Linked DNA regions of Drosophila melanogaster. Changing the gene in region 3 together with the main gene of any one other region gives a genetic interaction. Each region holds a gene or a part of one and is shown on either strand. Other genes may lie near its edges. The genes, in order: hb, drl and cas.

Evidence for each region.
Region 1: of cas (region 3) and hb, changing one suppresses a phenotype caused by changing the other (phenotypic suppression), as found in Drosophila melanogaster (one study listed by BioGRID).
Region 2: of cas (region 3) and drl, changing one enhances a phenotype caused by changing the other (phenotypic enhancement), as found in Drosophila melanogaster (one study listed by BioGRID).

What each region holds. Positions count from the first base shown.
Region 1 is NT_033777.3:8,691,742-8,699,516, forward strand, and holds the start of hb (hunchback), read right to left. Parts: upstream 6,082-7,775; 5' UTR 5,585-6,081; intron 2,860-5,584; exon of another isoform or gene 2,715-2,859; intron 2,432-2,714; 5' UTR 2,414-2,431; coding exon 137-2,413; 3' UTR 1-136. UniProt on the Drosophila melanogaster protein: Gap class segmentation protein that controls development of head structures.
Region 2 is NT_033779.5:19,188,279-19,193,377, reverse strand, and holds the start of drl (derailed), read right to left. Parts: upstream 3,037-5,099; 5' UTR 2,650-3,036; coding exon 2,544-2,649; intron 1-2,543. Other genes in the region: pigeon, read right to left, coding at 3,793-3,932, 4,278-4,502, 4,573-4,787, 4,847-5,079. UniProt on the Drosophila melanogaster protein: Probable coreceptor of Wnt proteins. Involved in neuronal pathway recognition and ventral muscle attachment site selection. Non-vital for development. May be part of a signal transduction cascade involved in learning and possibly memory.
Region 3 is NT_033777.3:5,712,392-5,718,751, reverse strand, and holds cas (castor), read left to right. Parts: upstream 1-1,946; 5' UTR 1,947-2,139; coding exon 2,140-2,991; intron 2,992-3,530; coding exon 3,531-4,224; intron 4,225-4,294; coding exon 4,295-4,728; intron 4,729-4,799; coding exon 4,800-5,201; 3' UTR 5,202-5,777; downstream 5,778-6,360. UniProt on the Drosophila melanogaster protein: Transcription factor that specifies expression of key genes in developing central nervous system (CNS). Essential for many, if not all, late developing neuroblastoma (NB) sublineages.

The DNA.
Region 1 (7,775 bases), 3.0 Mb from region 3:
CTTAATTGGCTTATGTACAATTTTCGACAACAAAATAATGTTTGGAAAACTTATGCTACGAATATATACAATTCTGGACAACGATTATATGATAATAGTGATAAATAATAATAACAAGGTGATGGTGATGGGGAACTTAGGAGTGAGCATTCCTGGCCATGTGAACGAAGAGGCCGACGGGTCCGTCGCACTTCTCGCCGCACATGTTGCACTTGAACACATCGTCGCAGCTGTGGTAGCCCATGTGAATGGTGTAGAGCACGGCGTCCTTGAAGAAGATATCACAGTACTTGCACTCGTAGATGGCACCCGCCGCCGCCGGAGTTCCGGATGGAGGAGCTGCAACCGCTGAGGTGGTTCCATTGCTGCTGGAATTGCTGCTGCTGTTGCCGTTGCTATTGCTGCTGGCATTGGAGCTGTTCCCCGAGCTGGACGCCGTCGAACTGGCACTGGTATTGGCCTGCGGCACATGGGCCGTCTCCATCGACTCATCTGCCGAACTGGTGCCCGAGCAGTGCTCCTCGGGCATGGGTTTGCGTCCGGCAATGGGCGAGGATGCAGTTGGCATGGGTGTGCTGGGTACTTTCAGTTGCTCGGGAGATGTCATGGCCTCCGATCGCAGTTGTAACAGGGTGTCCAGCTTGAGGACGCGTCCCTTGCGTCTCGAGGCATTCGAGCTGCTCATCAGAGGCGTGGCCTCCTCCTCCACCTTGAGATTCATGGCCAGCGGCTGCTGCGGTTGTTGCTGCTGCTCATCCTCCTTCACTGGCGTTCCTTGGGACAGATCCATGGCAGAGTCCACTGACTTACGCTCGTACTCATCGTCCTGCTCCTCCTCCTCATTGTCGCTCTGCTGCTGGTTCTGTTGCTGCAGTTGCTCTCGCATTCTTGGCGACAATTGGGCCAAGACAGCGGCCTGTTGTTGGGCGGCCAGCATCTGGAGATTGAGGTTCCAGTAGGGGAAGAAGGCCATGTTGCGGTTCTGCTGCAGAAGGCTGGCCAGAGGAGGCAGAAGATTGGCTGGACTGGGCAAGCTGGGCGTCTGTTCCACACTGGCCACACTCTTGGCAGGAGAGGCGGGCAGCGGGAGCACTGGAGATGCCGCCGGAGGAGCGGAGTTGCCTTGAACCAGAGGGAATCCTTGCAGGGCGGCACTCAGCTGAGATGTGGCGACTGGCTGAGCTGGCTGAGATTGCTGTTGCTGCGGAGCGACAGCTGCAACATTTGACTTCCGGCTGCCGCTGCCACTTCCTCCACTGGCAATCGGTCCACCATTCTTGCTCTTCGGACCACGACGCGTGCCGTAAACATCGATGACCAACGAGGGATTCGGGGTGCCATCCTCGTCCAAAACCATGCCGGGCTTGTGACCATACTTGCGCAGATGCAGCTTGAAGCTGTGGCAATACTTGGTGGCGTAATCACAATCCGCACAACGGTACTGATACACAGAACTGTGCGACTTGCGGTGCGAGTTTAGCATGGATTTGTTGACACACGTGTAGCTGCATTTGTCGCACTGGAAGGGCTTTTGGTTCTTGTGCTTCCGGATATGGTACTCCAAGTGGTGCTTGAACTCGGTGACGAACGGGCACTTCGGGCACTGCAGGATCTTGTCTGGTTTCATGTGGGTGCGGGTGTGCGCCCAGAAGTCCACCTTGGTGATGGCCACCACGCCGCAGGTCTTGCACTTGTAGTTCTTCATCTTGCCGTGCGAATTGTAGATGGGCATCCGGATGTTGGTATCATCGTCCTCGGACTCGGCCATGTACTTCATGTCCTCGCTGGAGTTCGACATCTGATCGTGCTCCTTCTCCGGCTCAATATTCGACTGACTCGACTTGGCCGGCGACTTAGGCGGTGTGACATCCATGGGTGGTGTTAGTGCCTGCAACTTCTCGCTGCTGCCAGTGGCAACTGCAACGGGCGCAATTGTGGAGGCAGATGTGGGCGTGGGCTGCGGACTGGGTCGCAGATTGCCGCCATAGAAGTGCTGCATGGGATTGGGCAGACCAGGTGGCGTCAGCGGATTGAATCCACCCATCAGATGGTGATGGTGATGATGTTGCTGCTGGGCTGCCTGGAAATGCTGCTGGTACTGCTGTTGCTGCAGCAACTGTTGCTGCAAGTTAGCATCGTAATGCTGCAGGCTGTTTTGATCGTTTTGGCTGGGTGATGGGGTCATGGCGCACAGGGTATCCATGGGTTGCTGCTGAAGCTGCTGCTGCTGCTGCTTGAGGAACTGTTCCAGGTGATTGGTCGAGGGAATGGGCGATTGGCGCGGACTGCTGGCCACGCTATTCCCGTCGAGATGATGACCTGGCTCCTGTTTGATATTTGCCGCGAACATGCTGTTGTACCAGGCGTTGTGCTGCTCGTAGTTGGTCGTGGCTGTCGTCTCCCAGTTCTGCATCTTGGCGGCTCTAGACGGCTGTAATGGATAAGAAAACAGAGAGAGTGGGGTTAGTGGGCATATTCATTTATTCATTCATGCACTGCGCCTGCGTCGAGTTTTTTCCTCTTTTTTTCCGCTTGTTTTTCATTTTATTTTTCCTCGCTTTTATTTTTTTTTTCTCTTTTTTTGGTGTGCTTGCGGCACCACCCCTAACAAAAAATACGTCAGGGGTGGCTGGGCGGCACCCACCCCCTGAAGGCGATTTGAGTGATTTTGTGTTCAAAATGGAGACACTTGGTAATGGCTAACAATATCCTACCGTTTCGTGGCCGCTCAGTGCGTATGATTGCGATTGTATCGAAGTATATTCCAAATTTGTCGGGATTTTCGTAAGGATTTGCAAGTATATTATTGGTGCTGCTTCTGTTGTGTTGTCGCAGTGGTAACAAACTCGTGACTGACTGAACAATTGCAACAGGCATTAGTTTATATATCGCTCAGGTAGACGGATGCACGCGTCAAGGGATTAGATGGGCAGAGGTGACGGGAAGTCAGGTACAGGTCGCGGATCGGTCGGGAATCGAGGATCACGGATCGCGGATTGAGGATTGCGCTCTTGATCCATTCTGGATTAGAGCAGAAACAAAAAATTATGCGCACTTGGATTTGGATGATCCGGGAGCTTAGCGGATGGCCAGCTTAGCAGCGAGCTGCGAATTTTCCACCGGTTTTCTATGGGGATTACGTTGGTCAGGAGTCGACAGCAGGAGTAGGCAGCTAGCGTGGGCAGTTTCGTAGTTAATAATAAAAAGTAAAAAGGATTGCGGGACTTAACTAAATTAACGGATCAGAACTGCTTACACCTGCGGGAAAACTCTAAGGACCAACTAAACTATATGCATAATATGTGCAGTATAATTATTACACACCCATTTGAAAAACATTTTCCTGACAACAATTTTCCGCCAGACATTTCACTTTGATTTGCGTAGTTTTTCTAATAATTCTCGCATTAAAATTGCTTGTTGCCTATATTTTTTCCATTTCCAATTTCACACTGAAAAATTGTGCAGTTGCTGCATTTTTGGCTAATTGTTTGTGCTTTCAAGTAAATATTATTAAAAACGCAAAACGGGAAAAAGGGGCATTTACGGAATATTATTATGGGAGGATGGTGCTGTGCTATCTGGCAGCTAAAATATCTACAATACTTAGGCATAATTGATGGTTCAGGAAACAGAAAGTGCACCACACAAAATGAAGCTTAGCATATTTATTTAAATTCGCTTTTGTGGATATTTTTAAAGAAAGCCAAAATTAATTGCTCGGCAAGTGTGTTAGTGTGTGTGCGCACTATGAAACAAAGAGAATTTTCGCCTTTCGTCTGGGCTTTTTTGTGCCATGCCCAACAACAGCAACAAAGCCAAACTAAAGGCCAAGTGTAAAATTAATATTACGCCGGGCAGGGGCATGGGCCAAGGGGGCAGGGGTGGGGGCATGGGGACCATGCAGTGGGGGTTAGTGGCGTGGTGTGGCCACAACGAGTGCAGCCAGGCAACCGAAACTGCAAAAGTAAACTAAACATGTGCTAGTCGTTTTTGGTGCCTCCCCCCCCACCCCAACACCGCCCCCTTTTTAACCCTCTAAAAATATCATGAAAATGGCAAAAATGGAAAAATTCGAAAACGCAGAAAATGCGCCACACAAAAAATGTTTTTGTTGAAAAATCCGTACAAAAAGCAAGCCAAGAGCAGGATATGCCTGCTTGTTTGCAGGCGTATATAAAATATATGTATGTATGCGTATACATATGTGTAGTTGCAACCGTTATGTTGTTGGCTTAGAACAACTTGTTGTTTTTTGGAGCTGCATTCGTTTAGGGAAAACTGCACTGCTGCTGCTGACTGAAGTGATTCAATGTCATTTGCGGTTTATAAATATATCCCGTATAATATGTGCATATTTATTTTTATGCGCCTAACAAAGCCCCATTTGTTTGAAATGCGCTCAGTTCTTTTTGTCGGCAAACATTAAAACTGTCGGATGACAATCAATTCTGCAAAAGATCGTGCAATAATGATTCCCATCATCATCCTAAACAAAAAAAAAAAACAAAGCCTGCGAGCGTCACATAGGTGTATTCATTATATTTGAAATGCATTTTGGCAAGTGCCGAACTATTTGCCATTAAAAAATTGCCACGTTGACTTTGAATTATAGTTCGATGTCTAAATTTAAATTATTAAAAAAGAAAAGTCGAAAATGCATTTGCCGAAAGAAGAGCGAAAAGAAATGCTAAAAATTGAAGGGGTTATTTGGGGGGCAGGAAGGCGAAAAAAAAACAACATGAAAGTCGACATGTAAACAAATAAAATTAGCTGTCAGGCGTAGAGGGGGGCGTGGCCAGGGGCGTTGCTTAGGAGGAGCAAATGAGGAGGGGGGGGGGTCGGTTGGGGGTTGGATATACGCTGCAGTTCTAGGCAAAAACAGACAGAGCGGGCAAAAAACAAGTTCACCCGAAGATCGGCCAAAAGCCAGACAGATTTTAAAATATTGTTTTAGAATTTTTGCCATTTGCATTTTTAGCAATGATTTACCACTCTGTGTGGTTGTGTGTGTGCATGTGTGTGAGATCTCTTGTTTGTGTTCCTAAGGTTAGACAGAAAAAGAAGCACTCGATTACAAACAACAAGAAGAGAACAAGAAAATGTGCAGAACTAGAAGAAAGTTGAGTACTTGGGATTAAAGGTGATTATGACATAGAATAAGCAAATTGGTTATCAGTCATCAGATTAGCATGAATTAATAAAGTAAAATACATTAAGCATAGTGCATAATAGCATATAAACGAACTATTTAAATCTGTTTCTTTTGAAAGTATATCACATGATGAATTATAATTAAACAACTATATATCGAATATATTCTATAAAAAAAAACAGATTTCGTATCAATTGAGAACTAAATTAAAATTTACAGGGCGTATGTAAATCCTCACAAAAACTGTGTATATTCTGGATACCCCAACATTTTGGCATTTGCTCCCGCAAAAGCGATTTGTAATTCTTGTTTATTTGTTTATCCGCGGAAAGCTTTTGCGAATTTCTACCTCCATGTGTTTTTTACGATTTATTGGAGGTCGAATGCAGTGTATAACTAGGATATTGGATGGTACGCCCAGTTACTTACCTTGCGGACAGTCCAAGTGCAATTCTGCGGGAGAATTTGGAAACGGGAACCGGGAGCAGGAGCAGGAGCACGTAAGTTTTCGCTTTTCGCTCGCGGACTCTCTCTTTCCCACTCTCTCGCTTGACCGCGGCACGGTTACCGTTAGACCAACACGCACAGTGCGTGCGAGGGGGAGCGGCGATGTGGGGGCTCCTTGCTCTTCGTTTTTGTCTATTTTTTGGGCCTCGCTTTTTAGCTTGCTTTTGTGCTTTCTTTTTCGCGGAATTCGCGCATGTGCGGGATGTGGTCTTTGCCAAAAAATAAGTTTTCGGGACAAAAGTCTTTTTGCAATTGGTTATCTTTTAGCACAAGCACGAAGTTTAATTGTATTTAATGGCAATATTTGTTTTGATAGCAGTTACGTTTCGTCCTTTGGATGTTTGGTTATTTTTGTATTTCAGTGGCTGCCTGTCAATGCTGGCGACTTTCGTTTTCGGGACTCGGAGCACAACTGACCAAACTCACGCTCAGCGGGCTCTTCTAATAGCTGAAAATCTCCTCACTGCTCCTCACAACAGTGCACTCGCCAAAAAAGAACTCAAATCTAAAATCTCAATTGCAAAGCAAAAACAAATGCCAGAAGTGCAACAACACAAAGGCGCACGAGAGCCGTTACACGGAGAAGCAGAAATCGAAATGAGAGAGCAGCCGGAGAGCATCAACAACGTAACGACGAAACTCACTCAAAACGGATACGGATGCTAGCTGTAAATCTGAGTGACTTTCCCCATCCCCAAAAGCAATAACTAAACAGCATCCCCTTCGTGGCGTTCGCTCTTTCACTCACTCACCCACTCTCTCGCTCTGACTCGCTCATTTTATCCTTTTGCATTTTCTGGCGCTGCATTTTGGCCGAATGCAGCTGCCTTTTTGGCTCTTTGCCGTTTTTTGGCATCTCCGCTTCACTATTGATTATTGATTTCTGGCCCAAAAGTGAGAGAGCGGAAATGGAGGAAGATGGGGGGCCTTCGCCAATTGTTTTTTGGGCAACTTTAAGCCCAGACACATTAACAACTTAGCCAACTGCAATTGGGACGATGGAAGTTTGGGCCGAGGAGATTCCTTGTTGCTTTAACACATTTTCCTGTTGCTGTGCGTGTTAACTTAATTTGGGCAAAGCTTTGCCACAATTAGCATTCGAAATTCCAAATCTCCTTAAGGTAGTTTGTGCATATTGGGTGTATTCCACCTTTTTAAGCTAATTTCGGAAAATGTATCATTGTTAGCTTGACAAGGATTATGGTTAGCAATAAATGCATATCATTAATAGTATCATTCGGTTTAGACCAATTTTTTTCCCAAGCGGAATGTTCGCTTTTAGAATGATAAATTAGGAGCGATTGTTCTAACTAGGTTTAATGACAAATTTTGGACTAAAAAAAAAAACTATTATTATTATTCATTATTCATAGTTCATTGGTAAAAACCTTTTTTTCTCTATACAATACAAAAGGATAACTTATTATTTGTATGGATCAGAGTTTTTCTAAAGAAAACATACATGCAAATTCATAATTAAGTTCGGAATTAATGTGCCTCCAGCTATTTTATTCAATCTCCTGTTTATGTGGAATATTTGGGCTAAAATCTCCTGTTTATGTCGAATATTTTGGCTAAAACTAAAGTGGAACGGGGAGAAATTAGGGCGTTGGCAGAGGGGGTGGGGAAAATGTAAAAGCAATATTTACAAAACAACAGAGCAAACAAATCGCCGCCGGAATGCAAATTATACAAGTTGCTCTCACATATCCAGAGGAATATATGTGTCAAAAGGACGTCTCGGGAACAGGTAGTACCGGAGGTAGACCTGCCATTGACGTTGACATGGCAAACCGGATTACGAATACGAACTGCAACCGGACTTAGCGAAGAAAGGATTAAAGGACGCAAAGCTACCTGATCGGCCCGCCCAGTTCATTAATCCGCGCATCCGAAGAAGTGCGACTGGAACTAGAGTGATGTGGATTTAAAAGCGATTTAAAAGTTGGCCGTACTTCTGCACAGGACATAATCCAACATTACGCAGTACGCAGGATCACGCAGGATCAGCGCCGCTGATCCGGAGGATCCAGTTAGTCCCGAGCGATTAGCGTTCGCTGATCAGCCCGATTAGCGTTGCTTAGGCGGGCGGGTGCTGTGTGGATCCTACCCA
Region 2 (5,099 bases), on a different chromosome or scaffold from region 3:
ATAGACAGACCCGAAACGTGACTGGCAACATCCATGGGTTACATGGATTAGGGAGGGATCTGCTCAGACAGCTGGCAGGGCTACAAAGTTGGGCAAAGTTAAAAGCCCCATTGAGCCAAGTGTGTGGCGGGGGAAAAGTTTTCCGAATGTTATAGGATGTTATAGGTTCTGGCTATATGAATTTAATTGCTTTCCTTGCCATTAACAGTGGGGTGCCACAAAGCCTGGGAGATCAGTGTCCTAAGATGGAATAATGGTAGTTCCCTTTAGATAACGTGTTACCCTTGACTATCCACACCCAACGCCGACAACTTTGGTCACTCATTGCAACCGCAAAATCCATCAACTGCACCGACTTTACATATCCGCTCATTTCGCTAACGAGCTGGGCCACAGAGCCACCGAACCAAGAAGACCCTCGCCACCGCCGCCCGGCTTGATCCACACCTGACATGGTTTGCATAGCATAGAGCACAGCAATTTGGGGCGCACTTCTGGATGGAGAAGTGGGTGGGCCATGGGATGGAACATGTGTGCTATGGGTATGTGTTCGGGTATGGATGTTAGCCTAACGAACAGTGAATGCCATGCCGCAGCTGCATGCAAGTGCATGGAGCTCTTCTTTGGGCGATTCTCCTTCACTCTGCTCCTGGGTTGACAATTTAATTGATGTGCACTCACACAAAGGCTTTTGAAGCGACCGCTAAAAAAATAAAGTGAAATAAAATAAAATAGAGTGACACCTAGCCAGGCGTTGCGAACACACACACAGTGAAGTCTCGGAAAGTAGGTCAGGCATGCAACCCGCTGTCAGCGCTGAATAATTGGAGAGGGTATCGCCACCCAATCCCGAAAGCCCAAAACCAAAAACCAAAAACCCTCTGGGGAAAGTGCAATTGGAGGAGTCGGGAATCGGGCGAAAAATGAATAGCGGCCACCGCTTAATGGGTTTTAATGCTGATTTCGTTTGACACTCGGCTGACACAACTAATAAATTTTCCGCTGCCATGTCAAGTGGAAAGCCTCAACTGGCCATCCATCCCATAGCAAACCATCCCACCCACTTGCCGTATCGCCTTTGATTGATTGTCTGCTGGCGCTTTCAACTGATTGCGAGGTGTGTAGTGGAGCAGCCAGGACTCGGGGGCCAGAACTGCAATCAAACATGAATTACGACGAGTGGCAGACGCTGATAAGCGGCTAGATAAGCGCCTGATTAGCAGCCCGGCACTGCAGTTCAAATATTTACCCAGTTATTCACAAGTGACGCGATGCAATCTGCGTACCTACATACTCCGCACTCCGCACTCCGAAACTCCTGACGCCCATCAATCAGCCGGAGGCACAAACACGCGAGTGTTGTAAATTTTACAACATAATTTTTGATAATTTTTCCCTATCAGCTATACAGCTCCCTGCGCCCCCGATCCACAGAACACACTGCCTACAAAACAAACACTTTGCATGTGTTTTATGATGCCACATGGATGTGGCACAACTTGGGCCGCTTCACCCTTTCCTTTTGGCCCATGGATTGAGGCTACTGATTTATTTTTTATATTCACTGGGTTGTAAATTCTTTGTCTGGGCCCTGTGACACATTGTAAAACAATTTTCCCCACTTTTATTAGCTTGGCAATCTCTTCGACAGGATTTGTGTGTGTTTCTTTCTGGCGGGGAATGGCTTGGGTCCAAGAAGACGAGGTTGGGGATGGGGATCGGGGCGAGGTATAAATATAAAAGTAGATTAAAGGTACTTGGGCTGCGGACTCGAGCTATCCCAAGCCGATTTGCTTGGCCAAGTGGAAACCTGGTTATTAGATGGAGATAAACAAATCTGTTTTGATAAGGGCTAAGAATCAGTCACTCGGATTTTTAAGCTTATTAGAGTAGTATTCTTCTATGGAAAATAGTTAGGCTAAATAAATAATATAAACTAAACTAAACTAAATATTTAAATACTCATTTTGGTGTCATTTTTTGACTACATGATTTTACTATTTATTTTCTTTTGAAGACGTTTATAAAATATATCTAAAATTGTTTTGTATTGTTTTAAATTGGATAAACTATGAAAAAATATGATTTTTTAAATAAAAACTTTGATTATAGAGGGATTACTTATCTAGAGATGAATCCACTTGCCAATCGAATTTAATTTAACGCAAAGAAATACAAATTTAAATCGCTTTAGCATTTCTATTTATCTAGATAAGTCTAACGAACAATTAAATCAAAGAAACAGGAAATCATGCTAGACAAATAGAATGTTTTCTTGTTTCTCGGTGAGCTGGCCAATTGAAGGAGGGACAATACTACTTTATATGTAGCTCCGAGGCTAGAAACAATTAAAAGGCATATATTATTTACGCAAAAAGAGTAAATAATCCCAGCAAGTCGCATTCGTTTGCCCAGGAGACAAAATCCCGGCTTGGCATAAATCAAATTTGATTTAAAGTCGAACGAACGCACACAAAGTGGCAAATAATTGCCCAGTTAATTGAAAAGCCAAAAGGCAGGCGAAAATCAACACGATTACTTACCGATTAGGCGCAGCACCTCGTGCAAGTTGAGGAAAATATTGAGATGGGCCTGACCGCTGGCGATCAGGGTCAAAAGTAATCCGATTGTTAGCAAGTTGGGGGCCATCTTTCGGATTCGATTAATCCGCCGGTTGTTTAGTCGCAATAAGAGGAAGAGATAGTTTTAACTGCAGTTCGGCTACTCTGCCGATTTTCTATTTCCCGTTTGGCACTCGCTAAAACGATTTAATTTCCGCTGCACTGCTGTTCACTTTTTGCGCTGCATTTGCAATTTTACGAGCGTCGCGTTGATTTCAATCGCGCTGATTATTACAGGAATTATTTGTCAGAGCATTTGGCACTTTGCCTTCTGGCCGGGAAAACTCAGGCGCACATATTTCCCAATCAGTCTCTGTCTCTGCACCCGTTTTTCCTCGCTTTTCTCGCCGTTCGTCCGCGTTCGTTTTCCGCGTTTGATCCGCTCACCGTGACGATTTTCCACAAACTGTCAACTGGATAAACAAACACTTCGCCACGAAGCGAATGGCTTCCACGCCGAGCGGAGTGGAGTGTGGACTGTGGACTGTGTGTGGCGCTCGTGGACTTGTTCTGTAGAACTTGAAGGCTGGAACCCGTATAACAGTCGTGTTGGAACCTCGAACTCGGTTGCAGTTCGAACATCTCATCGAACATCTCCAATTGGCTAAATACCAAAACTGGCATACTGTTCGATATCCTTTATTAAATTAACTAAACAAACATTCATATAAAGTTTAAAAAATAGACCCACAAACTTCCCAAATGAATTCGAATTAATGATGTAATATAATGATTTTAACCTTTTAACTTTTTTTTATTGTGTTTGATTCAATTTCGAATTAAACTCATGTTGCCAAAAATAAACATTACGACATTTTATACTTTATAAATCGTTAGTTTATTACAGAAAGAGAGACAGAAGCTTGCAGAAGCATAAAATAAATAAGTACAGAATATATAAATACGTACATGATTTTAGGTACATCAATTAACAACATAAATAATTTATAATTACAGACTTGGAATGTGTATCAGTCGTTACACAAATAATAGGAACAGAAAATTAATACTAAAAGCACACAGAAGAACCCTAACAAAAATCAAAGCTGCACGAGAAGAATCTTAACTAATACATTTGACAAATCAAATCTTTGGAATATTTGCAAACTGGCCTTGGCTAAGTACTTGATAATTTGACACAATACTTCATTAGTTACTCTTAACATTAAATTCAAGCCTCCAGTTTCAGCTGATCGATGGAGCTTAGAGTAGTTTCAATAAGCAGATTGTAGTCCAATTCGTTTAGACTGGCCTTCGCAGTCAGCAGGTCCAGAAAGGAGTCCAGTGGCGAAAGGGCTTCGGCAGTTAGATCTGCAAGAATACCAACCAAATTGGTCATTAGAGAGGTGGCTATGGTTAAGTTAGATAACAAGAAACAAAATGTGCAAATGGGACAACGACTGGCGAACACTGAACAGCGTTTCTTACCGGTCAGCGATGGGAATGTTTTCTACCAGATGAGAGGGCGCTGCCTGAACGCATAGCTCGATATGCTCAGGACGACCGTGGTTAGAATGAAAAGCAGAAAAACCAAAAGCAGCGAGTGACAAACAACAGTGTTGGGCTTGCCCAAAGCTGGACGAGATGTGTTCGGGTGAAGAGTGTACAAATGAAAAGTTAACGTGTTTATGGCGGGCTAACCAAGCAAGATCTTACCGCTCCGCGCATTATTTCGCGATTGATTCACGCAGGCCGTGGGTCGCTGCTGGTGCAACACCTCCTGCTGCTGACCCGACAGAATGTTGGCCGCATGCTCGCGTCCGCGGATCATAAGGCTGTCCGGATGCTGCCAGCATTTGAGTAACCTTTGAGCACGCTGCTTGGGCAGAGCAGACAAAAGTGATAGCTTCCGCTCAATGCCCAGTGGAGAATCTTCAATATCTGAAGGAATACATTAAGCAATAATGAAATGAACAGTATATGAAAACAAGTATATATATTTGTTACAAACCGAAAACAATGGCCTTCATCACATCCACTTGCAGTTCGAACACATGATTTTCCACATACTGCAGAAACATATCATAGCCCAGCGCACGATAGCCCAAGTAGGTGAAGAACGAGGAGAAACCCTCGGGCAGGGGAAACGCAATCGATTCCACAGCCAGGCAATAGCGCTCGAGGATTAGAAACAGAGAGTGCTGTTGATTGGCAGCCATTTGGTCACTGCAATCATTACAGACGTGAGTGAAAAGTGATCACATTTGAAATCATCACCAACTCACATCAACTGAAAACCCCTCGAGGTCTCCATGCGCGCATCTAGGCCTGCAGCACGACAAACCAGAGAGCAAAGAGCCCGCGAGAGTTCAAGCTGCGCGGAAACGAACTGGGAGGCCACCGCATGCACATGAGCTGGAGCCTGGGAGCGCTCGAAAAAGGTCTCCTTCAGCCAGCGGAAGCCAGTGTTGGGCTTTGACGTGTGCTTCACCAGGTGAACGCTCAGCTCGCGCAGATACTGTAAATTTCGTAGCTTTA
Region 3 (6,360 bases):
CTCGTCCTGCGATAACTCCAATCAACTGAGCTGGCCAGCAACAACACTTAACAAAGGCGACTAACAAAAGTTTTCTATTTCGAAACATTTGTAACTGAATATGAAATTGTCATATGTAAATTCCAGATCCAAATGCAAAAGCATAAACGCGAAGTAAGACTGTGAATGAACCTAAATGTATGGGCTTTTGTTCGCATTTTCATGCAGATTTCCGTACTCCGTTGCCATTTTACAATGTGGCATGGAACCTTTTCTGTAATCAATAGCTCCCAACCCGCTTTATTTGCCTCTCTGCTCTGGCTGCGTTATCCATGTCACTCAATTATGGCAACAATTGGTAAATCCCAATCCCACTTCAATCCCAATTCGCCAACCAAGTGACAAACCATATCCAGGCCTGATCCTGCAGCCTGTACTCTGCTCTGCTCTCTCACCTTGCCCATTGCCGAGTAAAATGCAAATCCAAAATCAATCGTACTCCGCCCCTCGTCCTCCGGCAATCGATTCGTCGATATTCGGGGATTCCCTTCCTGATTTGCATAAGTTTCCAGATAGCGCGCGTGCGCAGTCGATCGGCGCACCCGAATCCGTAATGCGGAGCAAACCCTCCTCCCCGATGTAGTGCAGGTCCATTTGCATAACACTGGCTGGAGGAGCTGGTGATCCGGATGTCGAACTTCCTACCCGATCGCCCGCTCCGCCTCGGGACGATGTGCCAAAATTATGCAAATGTTTTACACCAATAATTTATGCAAATTACGATCCGCAAAGGATTTGGTGATCCTGCGCAGCGGATGTTACACGTAGATGTCGCCAGCTTCAAATCGAAAATGTTTTTTAGGGGTTTGCTCAAGTTCAGAATTTCTGCAAACGTTTTTTTATATGGTAATTTTTTTTTGCAATGGGTCTTAGGAAATATTTGGCATTTTTAATTGTGTTTTTTTGCACGATTGTAATGCAGATTTTTTGCTCGATTGTAATTTTAATTTGCAAATTTGGGTTTTTATTTTTTGCATTTGAATGGATTTCGATTCGATTATTTCAAAAAGGACAGGCAGCTGCTCCAGCTTGATATCCTTTTTGCAACGCGCCAATTTCTTAAAAATCATTTCGATTCCCAGTTTTGCCGAAATTTTTGTGCACACAATTTGCATAGAGATGTGAAGGAAAAGGGAACAAAGATGCGATTCTATACTTTAAACGTTCTAAGATTTGATTATATTTATGGTAATAGGCGAATAAGATTGCCGATGCCAATATTTAGTGTGAGAAAGTATTTTTGAAAATCTTTTTTGAAATCGCTTATGAAAAAAATACTGTAGACGTCGAAATATTTAAAATATTCATCTTAGAATATGTATTTTTTGATAGAATAGAAAATATATAGAGATAATAACAAAAAATTTAAAATAATTAACTATACAGTTTCTTGTGCCCAGATAACTTATTTACCCACTTTCTGCACGTAACTTTGCCGTAATTTGCCGTAATATCTTTGCAAATTGCCTGCGATTTTGGATAAAATTCCTCTGCTGATCTGTGCTCTTCTTTCATTTGCTGTCCCTTTCTAACGCACGTTGGCCATGCGGGATTCCTTCACAAATACACGCTCCTCTTTCGCATTTTTTTTTACCGAAAAACCTCTCTTTTCTAGATAAATTTACATTACCGCTGGCGTTTTATTGGTCGAGAAAAGCGAGCAAAAAAACGGAAACCAGCCGAAAACAAGCTGGGTTTTCCCAGAGCATTTTCCTGCGAAGGGTCGGTTAAAAAACTAGGGGATGAAGGTCGAACCACCACCACCAACGGACTTCTCATTTTATTCGTTTTTTAAGAGAGCGAGAGCGGCGAGATCGGTTTTTTAAGAGAACCGGTGGCGAGAGGGTTGCACTTGGGCATGGATTTGCGCAATTTTTGCTATATTAGCCGGAGGCCGCGGAAGAGTTGAAGCAGTTTGAGCCTCGCAGCCGAACTTTGAGGATCGCTGAGACGAGACGCCGTGCAAGAAAGTCGATCCAAAATCCGAAATTCGAAATCCGTGCTGTGATCTGTGCTGAATATAGTGAAGAAATCTTAAAGAATTTTCAAAAAGAAATCCCAGTGCTGTGCTGAATATATCCGCGAAAGTGTGCCACAAAAATGTCCAACCAAATGGAGTTTATTATGCAACTCTACATGATGAACTTGATGAAGCAGCAGCAGCAAATGCAGCTCCAGCTTCCGCAGCAGCAACAGCAGCAGCAGCTGGCTGGATACACTTACACACAGAACGAGGATATCTCTAGCAGCACATCCGTGCAGCAGCAACAGCAGCAGCAGCAGGAGCAACTGCAGCAGCCACAGCCAGATCTCCGCAAGACAAGAACGCACAAGCGCATTAGCTCGCAAAACACCAACTGTAGTAGTAGCCGTAGTTGTAGTCCCAATAGTAATTTGATTGCTTTTCAACCACAACAATACCCAGGCGCTACAGCGGCAACTCCTTCCACTCCCAACAGCCACCCCAGCAACCTGGTCAACCAGATGCTGCTCCAAAGCCTGCCGCCGCTGACGCAGCTCATGTTGCAGCAGCAGCAGCAGCAACATTTGCTGACCACCTCCAACCTTCTACTAACACCCACCCACACCCCCAGTTCGCTGGGCAAGCAGGATCCACTGCAGCATCCGTTGTTGCTGGGCCAGTTTGCCGGCTCCGAACAGATGGCCACAAATAACTTCCTTCAATCATCCACAGTGACCTCCACGCCCATCGAGAGAGAGAAGGCAGCCACACCAGCACCCTCCGCCGGAGCAACTGCCGGCAACCTTTCGGCGGCCCAGGTCAAGTTTGAGCAGGAGTCCGCCGACGACGATGAGGACGATGATAAGCCGCTGTCCAGCCTCACCAGCTGCAGCTCCTCGGGCCACACCAACGCCAGCTCCGAGAAGCTGCTGTTGTCGGGCGTCCATCCGCTGGAGTCAACCACCGACAGCCTAGACTCACCCAGCATGGTAAGTGATCCGGGGATCTAGAAGGATCTTAACAGTTTCTTTTATCTCGTTTTATCACCATCAATTTTAAAGATACTGTCACTTGCAGTGGCAACTACGTAGTCAAAAAGCTATATATTGCGCATTTTTGTATTAGTACATTTGATTTAAATTCTAAATTCATCCCAACAGCTTGGTTCGCCATACTTCACAAACCTTTTCCAGTTGCAAAATAGACCATTTTCCAATTTCCAATTCAGAAAGCACTATATTTGTTCCCTATTTTGCTTTGTTTTTTTTTTTTTTTGGCTATGTCCCACGCTCTGTTGCTGTAATTTGAGAAAAAACGATTCGTGATTTTTGAGATTTAAGTGTGAGAGTAGCCAGAAAGCTCGCGATTCCGGGGAAAAGAAACAGCTGTGTCGGCAACGCGTGGGTTCTCTTGGTGGCTCGATCGCTGCCCAGCTGGGCACCAGGCAGTCTGAGCTGGGGATCTCACAGATGCATCCGTGTGTTGGTATTGACTCTAAAGTTCTTCCACCCTCTTTTTCCCACTGCAGTATACGCCCGTCAAGCAGCCGGCGGACTCATCGTACGGACTCATCACACCCGTCGACAGTGATCTGACCCCCAACACACCCCTCCAACCGACCCAAACAATATCCCTGCTGACGCCGCCGTCGAGTGAGCAGAGCAAGAGCCTGGTGAGCCTCTCGGCGGCCAGCGGCCTGGATGCTCTGCTCCAGAACGAGGAGGTACTGAAGAACCTGCGGAAAGTGTCCTCCTACCTGGAGTGCGAGAACAGCCTGTGCAGGCAGGAGAACCTGCGGGAGCACTTCCATTGCCACGAGGAGCCCTGCCAGGGCAAGATCCTGAGCAAGAAGGACGACATCATCCGGCACCTGAAGTGGCACAAGAAGCGCAAGGAAAGCCTCAAGCTGGGCTTTGCCCGCTTCTCCTCCTCGGACGACTGTGCACCAGCCTACGGAGAGGGTTGCGCCTACAACTGGAAACAGACCCACTACCACTGCGTCTACGAGCACTGTCCCAAGGTGTATGTGAGCACCAGTGACGTCCAGATGCATGCCAATTTCCACCGCAAGGACTCCGAGATCGTGAACGAGGGCTTCCGGCGCTTCCGGGCGCACGAGACCTGCCGCATCGAGGATTGCCCCTTTTTCGGCAAGAAGATCTCCCACTACCACTGCTGTCGCGAGGGATGCACCCACACCTTCAAGAACAAGGCCGATATGGGTAAGTCTACTTGGAAAGCTTATTAGCTGAACTTAGTTAATATATCATATATGTATTTCTCCTTGCTTAGACAAGCACAAAACTTACCATCTGAAGGACCACCAGCTGAAGATGGACGGCTTCAAGAAGATCCTGAAGACCGAGGTATGTCCCTTCGACGCCTGCAAGTTCTCCACCGTCTGCAACCACATCCACTGCGTCCGCGAGGGCTGCGACTACATCCTGCACTCCAGCAGCCAGATGATCAGCCACAAGAGAAAGCACGATCGTCAGGACGGAGAGCAGGCGTACCAGCAGTTTAAGATCAAGCAGGACGTGGAGGAGTCCTCCCTGGATGCCATGCCCCAGCAGCAGCAGCAGCAGCAGCAGCAGCAGCCCACCAGCCTTAGTCAATCCCAGAGCAGCAGCTCTGTATGCGGCGGCAGCAACACCTCCACTCCACTCTCCTCTTTGTCCGCCGAGCACTTCCTGGCTCGGAAACGCGGCAGGCCACCCAAGAAAATCGTAAGTTTGTCTGTATATTTTGGGTAATTTTCCGCGACATTAAATAGGCATATTTTCTCAATCCACCACAGCAACTGCCAGCCGACGCTCAGCAGTCGGAAGCCAAGCGCCTGAAAGTCGAAGACGAGTCCTCTAATCCCGCCATGCTCCTGCCCCAGTCCCAGCCAGCAGCCGCTGTGCATCCGCTGACAAGTGGACTCTTTCCCGGTCTCCTGCCCGCTGCCGCCGCTCCTGGAGTGGATCCCACAGCCCCTAACTTCCAGCTCACCCACCTGATGGCCCTCTTCCAGTTGCAGAATCCCCTCTTCTACCAGAACCTCTATCCGGGAATGACCCAGAATTCCTCCATGCTCGGCAACCTGGCAGCACTTAGCGCCGCATCGGCAGCAGCGGCGGCGGCAGCGGCGGCAAATGGAGCCGGAGTCCAGCAGCCGAAGGCAGAGTTTAGCTTTAAGCCAGAGTTTAAGGAGTAGGAAGGATGCGTGTCCTTAGGGTATTTTGCCAGCTACTTAGTTTGACCGACGGACGTTGGACATTGTACATACGCGCTTTAAGCAGGTTTAGGTGGGTTTTTTTGTGGGTTCAGGCAGATCCAGGACAAGGCATCCTTCCCTCCACAAAAACCAACTCAGCCACACTTTGAGAACCTAGAAGTCCCCTATACAAAGTGTAGCTGAATTGGCTTTTGCCAAACATTTTCCCCTTTAGCTTAGATTCTCTCAGTGCCACATTAATTTTTAAAATTTTCAGCCATTTTAAATAAAAAGGAAGAACTTTCTGAATTTAAGTTTGACTAAACTGTGATGTTTTCATTAGAGTAGCCTCTTTTAATTGATAGAGCGAGTGCAGGCTATGCAGGATATGCAGGACTTAGGAGACTTGGATTGTCAATAACATAGCGTCTAAGCATTACATTGTATGTGATATACTAATAAATAATGGCTAATTGTTTTTGCTTTATAATTTAAGGGAATAATATTATAATTCTAATTATAAACTTTAGTAAAATCAGCATTCTTCTATAATAAATAAGTCAACATTACCTGAATAAATTTTATTATGCCTCAGAGCTTATTATTTAAACACAAAATGCTTGAGTTATTGGGGGTTACTGGAAAATACAATATATAAAGTAACTAACATATATGTATACCCAACCACACATAAAACACTTAAACATTTGATTAAATAATTTATGACTTTATTTTGTTTTCATGTAATTGTTGGTTTTACTCATATGCTAACAGAAATCAGCTACACAAACTCAGGACGCCTGATAAAAACCGTCCCGCTAAGCAATATTTAAGTACTTTACACAAAATCAATTATTTTTTCCTTTGCTTGTATTTTTGTATTTTTTATAGTTCATAATCGCATATATGTATATGTAAACAATCAATACAATCCAAATACCATAATCATAAGCATAACAAAAGAGATTTCAGAAAGTTGTATCCTAGTCAAGAACAATGTACAAGCAAGTATCATCATTTTATACATTAGGTATTTGCTTTTAGTTTACATTGCAAAGTGAAACCCTGCGTGAAATGTACAAATAAAGGTAAACTAAAAATAACATTAAGAACTAATGGTCTAGAACTCAAGAAACACGAAAATCAACAAGTAAACTTC